3 linked regions of the Macaca fascicularis genome follow. The protein of the gene in region 3 purifies or fractionates together with the protein of the main gene of each other region. This does not show direct contact. Links are inferred from orthologs where the notes say so. Each region holds a gene or a part of one and is shown on either strand. Other genes may lie near its edges. The genes, in order: FAM83H, FAM83D and CSNK1A1L.

Region 1 (4,272 bases), on a different chromosome or scaffold from region 3:
CCTCTGGGAGGCTGAGGCAGGATAACCGCTTGAAGCCAAGAGTTTGAAACCAGCCTGAGCAACACAGCAAGACCCCATCTCTACAAAAAATTTTAAACATCAGGCAGGCATGGTGGCGTGCGCATGCAGTCCCAGCCACTTGGGAAGCTGAGACAAGGGTTGTTTGAGCCCAGGAGTTGGAGGCTGCTATGAGTTATGATTGTGACACTGCACTCCTGCCTGGGTGATAGAGACTGCATCGCTACAAAAAATGAAAATAAAACCAACCGCCCCCCAAAACATTTTATGAGTATTGGCTTAAAGACAAACATAATCCAGGCTGTATTCATCATTATAGTATTCACTTTTTTCTTAAGACATTCACAGGCCCCTGGCACTGTGCCTACTGGATAAGCTGGTGCCACCCATGCTGGCATGTGTCTGTCCCTGACTGCCTGGGAAACCGTGGGTAGGTCACTGCACCTCTCTGGCCTACCTCTACTGCACAACACAGCTGAGGGTCCACAAGACACCGTGCCTAGCCAAGGTGAGCGCAGCAAACAGGGCTGTGACCACCCTCCTCCTGGAATGGCAACCCTAAGCCCTACGCATAGCCCTGGGCGACACCTCCTCCCCATCCCCAGGGTTTCACAATTGGGTTCCCACAGCCCATTCTATGACTGCCCAGCCCTGCAACACTGACCCCTAGACTCTGTCTCTGTCTACCAGTCCCCCTCCTTCCCTTGACCTTTCTTGTCACTGTCCTTCTCAGATAAAACCTCCCTGGACCACAACCCCTTGGTGCCCACAGGGCCCTGCAGGGCCTGCACTCCACATCGCCCAGATCTGGCTCTCCACTTGCTCAGAGTCCTGTTGCCACCAGCCCCCCGTCCAGGGCAGCAGGGACCTTTCCAGGTCCTGGGCTCCCCACCATCATCCATACTTGGCTGCCCCACAGCCCAATCTGTTCTCCAAAGGGTCCCTGCAGGGTGCCTGGCCTCTCCAGAAAGGTCAGATGGGGCGCACCCAGGGCCCACGCCTGGGGTCACCGAGCTACCTGGGTACCTCTCCCTGGAAGGAGAGCCCTAGGGACCGTTCAGCCCATCCCACTGCTCCTCGGGTTGGGGAGGGAGGCAGGACACCTATCCCCGCCTAGCACACAGGTTCCCGAATGTTGGCCCTGGCTGGGAAGGTGGTTCAGCCCAGACAGAGGAGTGTGCCCTGGGGCACTGACAGGATGGGCGCTGGCCAGCTGGACTGCACGGGTGCTAACCGGAGCCACTAGGCTGAGAATGTTGGGGTCAGGAGGCCGCCGTCCTGCCTGGTACCCCCGGGGGTGACATGGAGTTGGGACATGGGAAATACCTGGTGCCACTCAACAGCCCCAGATGCCAACTGGCCTGGGAGAAGCTGTCCCAACATTTCTTTGTTGGGGCATTGTCCTCATGGTTGACATATGGGGCTCGTTAGGGCAGATCGAGGCCAACCACATGGGGGTGAGGTGTAGGCCTGTCTGGCTGGGCCGGGGCGCCCACTCACCACTGCCAGCCTGGCTGTAGGGGCGGTGTCTGACCATATAGGGCAGGGGGAACAACCCTGCTAACCTTGTTTGAGGGCACTTCCCGACGCTGGGGGACACTCTAGAAAGGACCCCCACTGTCCCTTAGGATTTCACAGGGGAGGGATATCCACACAGCATCCAGGCTCCAGGCTGTGTGTAATGGGGGCAGGGATCATCTGGACTGTGGAATCCCCCGTTGCCAGGAGCCCTCCCAGCAGACACCCCTCATCATCACAGGGTGATGCCCAGACCTCCAATGGCTTCATTCCTCACATCGTGTCCTTTCATGGGTACGTGTCTGCTGGGCTATGGACGGGGCCGCAGACACTCCCAAGCCTGAGATGGAGCACCCCAGTGGCCTGCATGCCCACACATTTGCCTACCAAACGCTTGCCCAAGGGAGGTAGGGCACGGAACCCACCCATGGCCAATGACTCAGCACGAATCCACTCTTCTGCTGCTGACCCCTGACCTCTGACTCGAAGTCAGGGCCCTCAGCTGGCCTTCAAGGACCCCATCCTCTCCACCCTGGCAGGAAGTGGGGTTCCTGAGTATCTGGAAGGAGGACCCCATGGAAGGATCCGGAGTTCCTACACAAAGTGGGGTGAGCCTGTGCCAAGTTCCGATGGGCCCAGGAGGGCGCGGAGGCTCTAGGAGGCGGAAAGGTGGGGTGCGGAGGACAGGGCTCACAGACCGGAAGTCGCTCAGTGGTAGCTTGCGGGGTGGGCACCCCAGCCCCCAACGGGGTCAGTGCACCCTGCGAGCTCGCGGCTGCGGCGGCTGGGTGCCCCATCCACCCACCCCAGCCCTGGAACATGGGCGCTACGGGCAGCCCTCCCGTCACTCGCCCTGCTTGCCAGGCGGGGATCCAGGCCGCACCCTGGCCACCCCAGTCCACGGTGGCCCGGGCGGGCGTCCCCAGGGAAGGGTCCAGGCCGTGCCTAGCACCCAGACTCCAGCTAGGCCGCGAGGGCAGCAGCGAGTCGGGACGGCCAGGCAGGCTCGACCCAGATCCCGGGCCGCTTCCCACTCGGCTCTTCTCGGGCTGCCGTCGTGCGAGGGCGCTCGCGTCCATATCCGCACAGCGGCGCCCCCTGTCCGAGCTGACCCGCCGCCCCGGCCCCGCGCACGCGGCCGCGCTCCACTCCCACCGCCCCTCTCTGGGTCGCGCGGCCCCGGCCCAGGTGCGGGCGCGAGGGTAGCCCAGGTGGGACCGCACCGAGGGGCGCCCGCCCCCGCCTCGCCCCGCCCGGGCCGGGGGAGGGGGGCCCTACCTGGCCAGGTGCGCGGGGTCTCGGCACGGGGGCAGCAGGAGCCGACCGCCGCCCAGCGGCCTCGCGGTCCGGTCGGTCCGGCAGCCACTCCCTGCCGCGGCCCGCCCGGCCTGATTCACGCGCCCGCCCCCGCCCCGCCCGTCGCTCCTGCCTCCTGCCTGCCCGGGCAGCACCTGGGGGCGGAGCGGCCCCACCCGCGGCGCGCCCGCATTCCTGCGCCCCGCGCCCGCCGCGGCCCCGCCGCCCGCCCCGGACCGCGCCCCCAGCCCGCGCCCCGACCCTCCGCCCCGACCCGCCCGTGCCCTGCGGCCACGTGCCCAGAAACCCCGGCCCAGCGCCGCCGGAGACCGTGAGGCCCCCACTTCAAAGGCCTCGACCCCCAGGAGCCCAACTGTTGACCCCAGGCTCAAAGTTCCTAGCCTGACCCCTGACCCTCGCCCCGGAAGTTGGGGTGACTCGGAAGTTCCGGCTCAGTCGCTAGGAAACAAGCCAGCCCGACGCAAGGGGCGGAGCTCTGACCTCCTCGCCGAGTTGGTGAAGGCAGGTGCGGCAGGTGAGGGCGCTGGGGCGGCGTCGAGCCCCGGGCGGGGCCGGGTCTGGGAGCCCCGAAAGCACAGGGGATCCATTCACCACACACCGGTCTCCCACCGCACCAGCGTCCCACACGTAGAGGGGATCCCGCCCAACAGAGGACCCCCAGGCCCCGACCCCCACCACACACACACACTGATGCCCACAAGTACCTGGGGTTCCCCATCTTTCTCCCTCATCCCTTCACATCCATGCCCACACTTGTAGGGGACTCTGCTGCAGTGACCCCCAATGCACATGCGGACCCCGAATGACCTGTCCCTCGTGTGCACCAACCCCCCAAGCACAGGAGACTCCTCAGGAAGACAGAACCCAACAAGAACACCCAGTCCTGTCCACTTCAGTCACCCACAAACACGCTGACGTCCGCACACGTAGGGAACCCCACCTGCATGTGAGATCCCTCAGACACCGATCCCACACACAAACAGGGATGCCATATTCACACTGACTCTGAGAGACCAGGGGACCTCCCTCACACATATAGAACCCTGGGTGTACACTCGGGGACCCCGCGAAAACCAAGCCCCAACACGGACAAGGGACCCAGTGTGCACACCAAGCCTCACATACCAGACGCCCCCGCATGAACACAGCAACCCCACACACTACCCCGAGCTGCCCCTGGGTGCTCCAGTACCCCCAAATCCCCCTCAGGCCCTCACTTAGGGCCTCTCCCCCCACTTAGGCCCTGCCCTGCACTGGATTACCTGTCCAAACCACCACCCTTCACCCCTGCCACTCCCACCCCAAGGACTGGCCCTGCCTGAACGCTTTCTGATGGTATCAGTCACCTTTCTGTTTGTCCCTCTTGCCATGTGATCCTATTTTCTGTTTTCAGGGTCACTCCCAGTTTCATTTGTTCTT
Region 2 (3,605 bases), on a different chromosome or scaffold from region 3:
TGGTCTTTTGCGACTGGCTTCCTTCACTTAGCATGTTTGCAGGTTCATCCATGCTGTAGCATGTATCAGCACTTCATTCCTTTTTATGGTTGAATAGTACGCTATTGTATAAATAGACAACATATCATTTAACCATTTATCAGTTGATGGGCATTGGATTGTTTCCACTCTTTGACTTTATGAATAATGCTTCTATAAAACTCATACACAAATTTTTGTGGGGGCCTATATTTTCATCTCCTAGGAGAATTGCCAGGTCACGGGTACTGTCCATTTTCTGTAAGACCAGGCAAATGACTTTGCTCACATCCTCAGTCCCTTCCTTGTAAACAGGGATACTGCCACCAACGACCTTGTAGATCATGGATGCTTAGTCACATTCGTTGACTGTGGTGAAACTGGATATAGTGTACCACAAACCTTTTCCTGTTCAGGATGAACTTTCAGATCCATGCACATATCCAAAAACTGAGAGAGGAGAGCCTGGTCCAGAAGGATATACACAGCGACTCCCTGTTTCCTGCATATTTCTTGAAGGTCTCTGAAGATGTCGATGTCTGTGAACACATCCATTACCACTGCAATCACCTACAGGTGAAACGGGGAAGAGCACATGGTCAGCTTATAGGACACCACCTTATAGCATGCTGTCTGGACTCTGGACTCCACTCAGAACTGGGAAATGATCCCTATCCAACAGTTATCCTTCCCTCCTGCTTCTGCAGTATTGGTGCTCCCCTCACCATAGACTCTTTTGCACCTCCAAAGACACCTGGGCCCCGTATCCTACAAATCTTGACTTGGCCTAGCTAACACTCCATGCTGTCACTAGGAGCTAACACTCCCAACTAAACTGTTCATGCTGGCAGGTTTCTCAAAAATACACATCAATCCACTGCCTTGCTCTCTTATGAACCTGCTCCATTCACCTTCTATTCCTCCACTAAACCCCTGTCTTACAGGCTTAATTCAGATCAGCAAGCTGTCTGGTTCTGTGGGTAACACACTGTTATCTTTGGCTTGTAGATTTCCCCACCAGGATTCAGTTTGCTGTCCGTTAAACAAGTAAATAAAACCTTAGATTCTGAGGGCCCTTCTTGGGGGTAGCATTCTCGAAATCTACTTTTTAAATTATTGTCTGGTTTTAAATCTTAATCTCTGACTTTTTTAAGGCCTGCCCCATTCACCATCAACTCATGACTTGAAAGCAACCAAAGCAGGCCCATGGATTCTCCCATCTTCTGCTTCCCTCCTACTGCATACCACATTTGTTAACATTCTGTTCTTTCCACCAGCCAGGCCTGATCAGCTGTCTGTTGGGCAGGTTCTAACCAAATGGCTTCCACCACACCGGCCTCTCCTCAGTAAAAGGCTCTCTCTGCAGTTCTTTGGTATTGTCCACAGTGCAAGCCCATAGCAAAGAACAGGGAAATATTTCCTAAGGATTCTGCCCTTAAGCTCAGAGTAGGCCTTTCTACTCCCCAACAACGTGGCTCCATTCATGCCTCCCAAGTGATTTTCCACATCTAGCATCAGACTACAATTAAGAGCCACCTTTTAGCCACGCATTCTTGGGCAAATTACAGCTGTTTCAAATGTCTGTTTCCTTAGCTGCAAAATAGGCTTGTATCGAGAATTAAATGACTATGTTACATAAAGTACAAGGTACAAAGGAACCCTTAGTATCTGCTCATTTATTCACTTTACCAGTCCCGAGCTGGAGCTGTCCAGACAGTTCAACACAGGGAGACACTGCTCAGCTTTCCTCGCTCTTTTAAAGACAGGCTGCTCCAGCCACAATGCCTCTAATCACACCCTTTGCAGGCTTAAAACCAAGGTCCTCAGCAAACTCCTGGCAAGGCAGTGGGGGTGTCCAAACATCCAGGCTTAGAAACAGGTCCTGACAAACTGAGTCAGAAGCCGGGGGTGTTATCTAAGGAAACCAAGGCTTGGGAGCTCTTCTGTAGTCTGGAGCTATATGGGTTTCTCCTTCCTCCCCATTTCAACAGTAAAAGCCTGTCTCTCAGAATCACATTAACTCTTTTTCTGAAAGTTAGGATTATTCATTTATGGGTTTCACTCCTTCTACTGCAGCAAAGGCTCTTGAATGGGATTGATTCATTTCTGTGGTCCCAGAGGACTCAGGACAGTACATGACAGTCATTACTCCTTAAGGATTTGGGGAACTAAAGAAGGAATAAAGAGACAAAAAGGCAATTTGGATATCTTTCTCCAACACTCCAGGGCGTGGTCTACTAGGATGTGAGACCTTGAAATGCCAGTTCCTGGGAAGTCACTGCTGTGAGGGAGTCGAGAAGACCAGTTACTCTCCTGCTGCCTTTCCCTCCCCACCCCTTTTAATGATGCTGTAAGCTGTGGGCTACTCTTGGTAAAGAGCAAGGCTGAAACCCACTGAACACAGTGATTTAAAAAACGAGAAACGTTCTTTCTGAACTCATGGCATCCTCGGAAGTTTATATCCTCCACTGGCTTTACACATCCTATTTTGACAGTCCTATTCATCCTACTCATTCGGGTCATACAGCAGGGATTAAAGACAAAAGGTCTGGGCATAGAACCCAGCTCTACCACCTACCAGCTCTGTGACCTTGGGCAAGTGGCTTAATCTCTTGAGCCTCAGTTTCCTCCTCAGGAGGATACAATTAATAGCATCTGGGTCAAAGGGCTGCTGTGAGGATTAAGTGAAATAAAGCATGGAAAGGGCTTAGCACAGGAGGGCAAGGCAGGAAACGGGTGCTATTATGCAGCCAAGACCTCCTCAGAGCCCACCATGGGCTGCACACTGCACTAGGCAGAAAGATGGCTATGAGGAATTTGACATAGACCCAACTTACCTCAAGGAGAGGACACAGGATGCAGAGAGGCAAAATGATATATATAGCCTAAGCAATTAAACTAAGGGGGCTGGGCATGGTGGCTCATGTCTATAATCCCAGTGCTTCGGGAGACCAAGGTGGGTGGATTACCTGAGGTCAGGAGTTTGAGACCATCCTGGCCAACATGGTAAAACCCTGTCTCTACTAAAAATACAAAAAGTTAGCTGAGCATGGTGTCATGCACCTGTCATCCCAGCTACTAGGAAGGCTGAGGTACAAGAATTACTTGAACCCAGGAAGTGAAGGTTGCAGTGAGCCGAGATCGCACCATTGCACTGCAGCCTGGGCAACAGAGCAAGACTCCATCTCAAAAAACAAAACAAAACAAAACAAAACAAAAACAAGGTGTCTCCTCCAGTGGTGGACTATAGGCACTATAGGTACTCAAATGCTTACCAGATAAGAGCAGGGAAGGCTTCCTGGAGGAGATGGCATTTGAGCTGAATCACAAGGACACTTGGACAAGGGCATGGGAGAAGTGAAGGGAGGAGAAGGCATTCCCACGGGAAGCCATATGATGACAAAGGAAGAGGTAGGGAATGACGGGGTATGTACCAGTCTAGCTGGAACGTACAGCATGTATAAAAGGGAGTCACGGGACATGACTGGAAAAGATGGATGAATGAGCAAGATCACAGAAGGCCCTGAATGCCAACTGAGGAATCAGTTTCAAACTTCTCCACATTGCCTGTATAAGAGTAATGAGTT
Region 3 (4,287 bases):
AATTAAAAGGAAAATGAGTTTTCCTTTATCTTGCGTCAGAGAAAAAAAAAGAAGGTGCAAAGAGATTGAGAGGAAGCGCATACACACACACATAATTCAGAGAAACAGATGGGGGTTAGGGAGGGTCAATGATCACAGAACCTCACACAGTGTGCTCTCCAAGGGTAAAAGTCAACTGTTTATAGCCATTTCACAAGTATTTTAAACAACAATGTTTTATAGTCAAACCCTTCAATGCTTGCATTCTTTTTTGAAATCAGCCCAGCTATTAGTCAGTGGAAGAAGTAACAATACCAAGTTCTGACAGTTGCAGTACTAGATACTGTACCACAAGTCATTAGAAAAAGAAAAATGAAAGAATACATTTCTCTTCATACAAAACAATTATTTTAGAATAAAAACATTGAAAAAAGTTATGTCATGAAATAAAATTTACTTGCAAAGGAATATCATGTAACAAATGACTTTAAGTTGACTATCAAAAAATTGGGGAGATTTTTATTTCCTAGTGAATCAGCAAGGCATTTTTTGGTTGTTGTTTAAAAAAGTATCATTTTCTTACAGAAACGGTTTTAAGTGAACTTGTAAAACATAAAAGCTCCCATTTCAAAATATGAACAAAATCCCAGATCACATAGGTGTTTACAGTGATTACATTTATCTAAACAATGCACATACATGTTCAGTTGTAAGATGTTAACTAAATTTCTGTGACAAATATGGTTGTTGTTGTCGTTTTTATAATACCGAAAACATGATAAAGTTAGTGTGGAATTCTAAAGATTATCTGGTAGTTACTAAGATTTTCTTATGTCTTTGCAGGTAAGCAGGCAGTATCTTTCCTATTCTCAAAACTGGAATTTTTGTTTGCTACCAGATCAGCTGGCTTGCAAACAAGAAGCCAACCATTTTAAGAATGCTTTTTGTGTGAACAATTTGCAGACCCCAGGGATGGAGAAACCCTAAAAATGCTCAATGGTAAGCATTTACAACCTTCACAGCTGTGGCTGAAGACTGTTCTTCTGAAATGAGATATCAAAGCAGTCTAGTTCAAAATAAAAGGTTTTAACAAAAAAATTGGCATATGGACAATGTCTCCACCAATTCGTGTGTGTCAACCATTTAGTTAATTTTTCTACTTGAATAAATGCAATAGAAAACCAGACACCATGTTTCACTACCTCAGTTAATATTCACAATTACAGCGGCTACACACCTTGGGATACAGCATCACCCACGCTCCCCAGAGTCAGTTTATATTGAAATAAAGTTTTTTACACCAAGTAAATGGTTGTCCACAGCCACTAGCTAGTGTGCATATGAACTACAATTTCTAGATGTGGGGAGAAACAAATGCTGCTCGAATCATCTGCTCTGCTTCTTCTGTTCCTCATTCATGCTTAGTTTTCTTTCACATTATTCTTGTTTTTTTCAGTTTGCTTGCCTGTCTGGGTTTGGGCCTGCTGACCCTGCCCACTGGAAGAGGCTGCCTGCTGTGCTGCTTTCTGCTTTAACATCGTCCAATCAAATGTGTAGTCATATTGGTGGTTCAGGGTCCTGAAAAGAATGCGGAATAGCTGCCTCAGATACATGTAATCTGGGACTTCCTCAAAGCGCAGCCCACGACAGTAGTTCAAGTACATGGCGAATTCTGCAGGAAACCCCTTACATAAAACTTCAACAGGGGTGGACATCTTCTTCTCACTAATTTTTTCATATTTTTGTTTTTTTGTTATAGCCTTTAGTCCTTGCCACGGCAGGCTGGTTCTATTAAAATACATGAAAACGTAGCCTAAGGATTCCATGTCATCTCGGCGGCTCTGCTCAATACCAAGATGTGCATTGATGCTGGCATATCGGACAGTGCCAATGAGGTGTTTATCTTCTCTGTACGGTATGTGTTGCCTGGTCCTGTTGTCTCTGTACTTTTTGGCCAAACCAAAATCAATAAGGAACAACTTGTTACAGTGGCGCCCAGTACCCATCAGGAAGTTATCTGGTTTAATGTCTCGGTGTAGAAAATTCTTTGTATGCACGTATTCAATTCTGCTGATCATCTGGTCGGCTAACATAAGTACAGTTTTCATGGTGAACCTTCTTGAACAGAAATTAAAGAGGTCTTCGAGGCTGGGTCCCAGAAGGTCCATGACTAGCACATTGCTGTCTTTTTCCTGACCATACCAGTGCATGTGGGGGATGCCAACCCCACCTTGAAGAATCGTGTAGAGTTTGCTCTCATATAACAACTGGGGGTGCTTGGCCTTCTGAGATTCCAGCTTCACTGCTACTTCCTCGCCGTTGGTGGTGGTGATCCCCAGATAAACGTCTCCGAAGGAGCCAGACCCGATCTTCCGCACCAGTTTGTATTTCCCTCCCACAACGAGTTCGGCCTTGGAGCCGCTGTTGTTTGCCATCCTGAGAGGCAAAGATGGAGGCTGGGCTCTGCCCTGACCCCTCTAGGGGAGGATGGAGGCCTCCGGGGCCCGCCAGCCCCACAAGGCTGAGGGTGAGGGCTGCTGGAAATGGCCACCGAGGCCTCTCCCGGTGTTACAGGGCCTGGAGTCAGCCTGATCCCCAGAGCACACCAGGGTTTCCGCCAGGCCACAGTTTTCGAGGGCTTCTCAAGGTTGCCAGGCTGGGCCACCACCTCTTTCTGGGTGGCGGTCGCTGCCTCGCTGTCGCGGCGACGTCGCGGGCTGAGAAAGGGGGCACAGCGAGTTGCGGCAGCGATACCGCTGCCACCGCTGCCAACGGCTGTGGGCCCGAGGGCCCGGTCACGCCGCTGGCGCCGCCATCTTGTTCCTCCGCCTCAGCCAACCACAAATCGAGAATTTTTGGAGACACTATTAATGTTTGAGTCCTCTGTTAGGTGTTCCACTCATCTTGTTCCATTTAACACGAACTTGCTAGTCTTGTAAGATAGCTGTTATTTTCCCTGATTCGTTGGGTAAGAAAGGCTAAGTCTCAGGTAAGCGGCCTAAGGTTGCAAGAGATTGTGGGCCAGCTGGAATTCAAAACTGCCTAGGCTTATGTAACTCGAAGCTCACCTCCTTTCAACTTAATTGTGCAGAAATGGGAGGCTTTTATAACAAAGATATTCTTGTTTTCGGGCCCAGTCATTGTCCCACCTACTTCCCTAGCCATCATGTCTCCCTGGGTTAATGCCAGTTGGGGTGCCACCCCTTGGGCTTTTTCTCTGCAGTCTCAGTGGTTGCTTGTTTATTGAGTTTAGTCAACAAGAGTTACTTACTGCTAGTTAAATTGAAATGTGTGTGTGTGTGTTTTTTAAGCGATCTTTTTGAAATTTTTTCATAGAGTGCTTTGAATTTAAATAAGATTCCACAGAGAAGTTCTGGCAAAACTGACTAAATGAAGGATTCAAGTAAAATTTAACCAAAATAGAGAGAAGAAACAGACGCCGGCAGTTCTGAGCATTTTCTCGAAAGAATTGGGGCCAACACTAGCAGAAAAAGCGGTACCATTTCAATATTTTTATGACAGTTCACATCACAAATAACAAAACCTGTGCGATTATTTTGTTTTATGAGGATATGGGATAGGAACTGAGTATAATCCTAACGGGGCAGTAGCAACGAATTTGGGGACCAATGGCAGAAGGGCAGGAGAGGGAGGTGCAGCTTTGAAAGTAGGTATTCCCACTTTACTGTCTCACATAAATTAGTGCTGTTTCTAACTTTTCTGACCTGCATCAATCTATGGCGAGAGAAGGAGCTGCTTTGAGACATAGACGGGCACAGAACATTATAGAGTGCTTTAAAACATTTTTAAAGTTCGCTTAAGACAAATATGTGAGGTGGGTGGCACAGTGTATTACTTGGCTTTGCAGCAGGAACAACTCGCAAATCTCAGTGACTTACAATGACAAAGTTTATTTATCATTCAGGTTTTATGTAAGCTGTAGATCAGCTGCATCTCTGCTTCCTGTGTCCTCTTTGTTCTAGAATGCGGGCTGAAAGAGCAGCCTCCTTAGGAGCATGCTGTTCTCATAATAAAAGGAGTGGCAAATGTCACATTCCACTGGGCGAAACACATCACATGGCCAGGTCCAAAGACAGTGGGGTGAAAATACATACTCCTCCCACAGGTGGATAGTAATACAGTATACTGCTGGCATATTTTATTATTGTGATTGTACTTCTCATTTTATACAAGTGGAAATTAAGGCATAGAGAGGTTAGATGAATTGCCCAAGACCACACTACAGGTAAGTGTTGGAGGCCAATTTGAAACTGAAGTCTGGCCCAAGGCAGTTACTTTTTATACGGT

Evidence for each region.
Region 1: the proteins of CSNK1A1L (region 3) and FAM83H purify together in Homo sapiens (affinity purification with mass spectrometry; 3 studies listed by BioGRID and IntAct, with this or other methods). This does not show direct contact. The link is inferred for Macaca fascicularis from reciprocal best matches to the Homo sapiens genes CSNK1A1L and FAM83H.
Region 2: the proteins of CSNK1A1L (region 3) and FAM83D purify together in Homo sapiens (affinity purification with mass spectrometry; 3 studies listed by BioGRID and IntAct, with this or other methods). This does not show direct contact. The link is inferred for Macaca fascicularis from reciprocal best matches to the Homo sapiens genes CSNK1A1L and FAM83D.

Annotation. Positions count from the first base shown.
Region 1 is NC_088382.1:153,390,881-153,395,152, forward strand, and holds the start of FAM83H (protein FAM83H), read right to left. Parts: upstream 2,897-4,272; 5' UTR 2,815-2,896; intron 2,090-2,814; exon of another isoform or gene 1,962-2,089; intron 601-1,961; exon of another isoform or gene 476-600; intron 1-475. UniProt on the Homo sapiens protein: May play a major role in the structural organization and calcification of developing enamel. May play a role in keratin cytoskeleton disassembly by recruiting CSNK1A1 to keratin filaments. Thereby, it may regulate epithelial cell migration.
Region 2 is NC_088384.1:95,066,207-95,069,811, reverse strand, and holds part of FAM83D (protein FAM83D), read right to left. Parts: intron 589-3,605; coding exon 421-588; intron 1-420.
Region 3 is NC_088391.1:16,651,010-16,655,296, forward strand, and holds CSNK1A1L (casein kinase I), read right to left. Parts: upstream 2,825-4,287; 5' UTR 2,415-2,824; coding exon 1,401-2,414; 3' UTR 421-1,400; downstream 1-420. UniProt on the Homo sapiens protein: Casein kinases are operationally defined by their preferential utilization of acidic proteins such as caseins as substrates. It can phosphorylate a large number of proteins. Participates in Wnt signaling.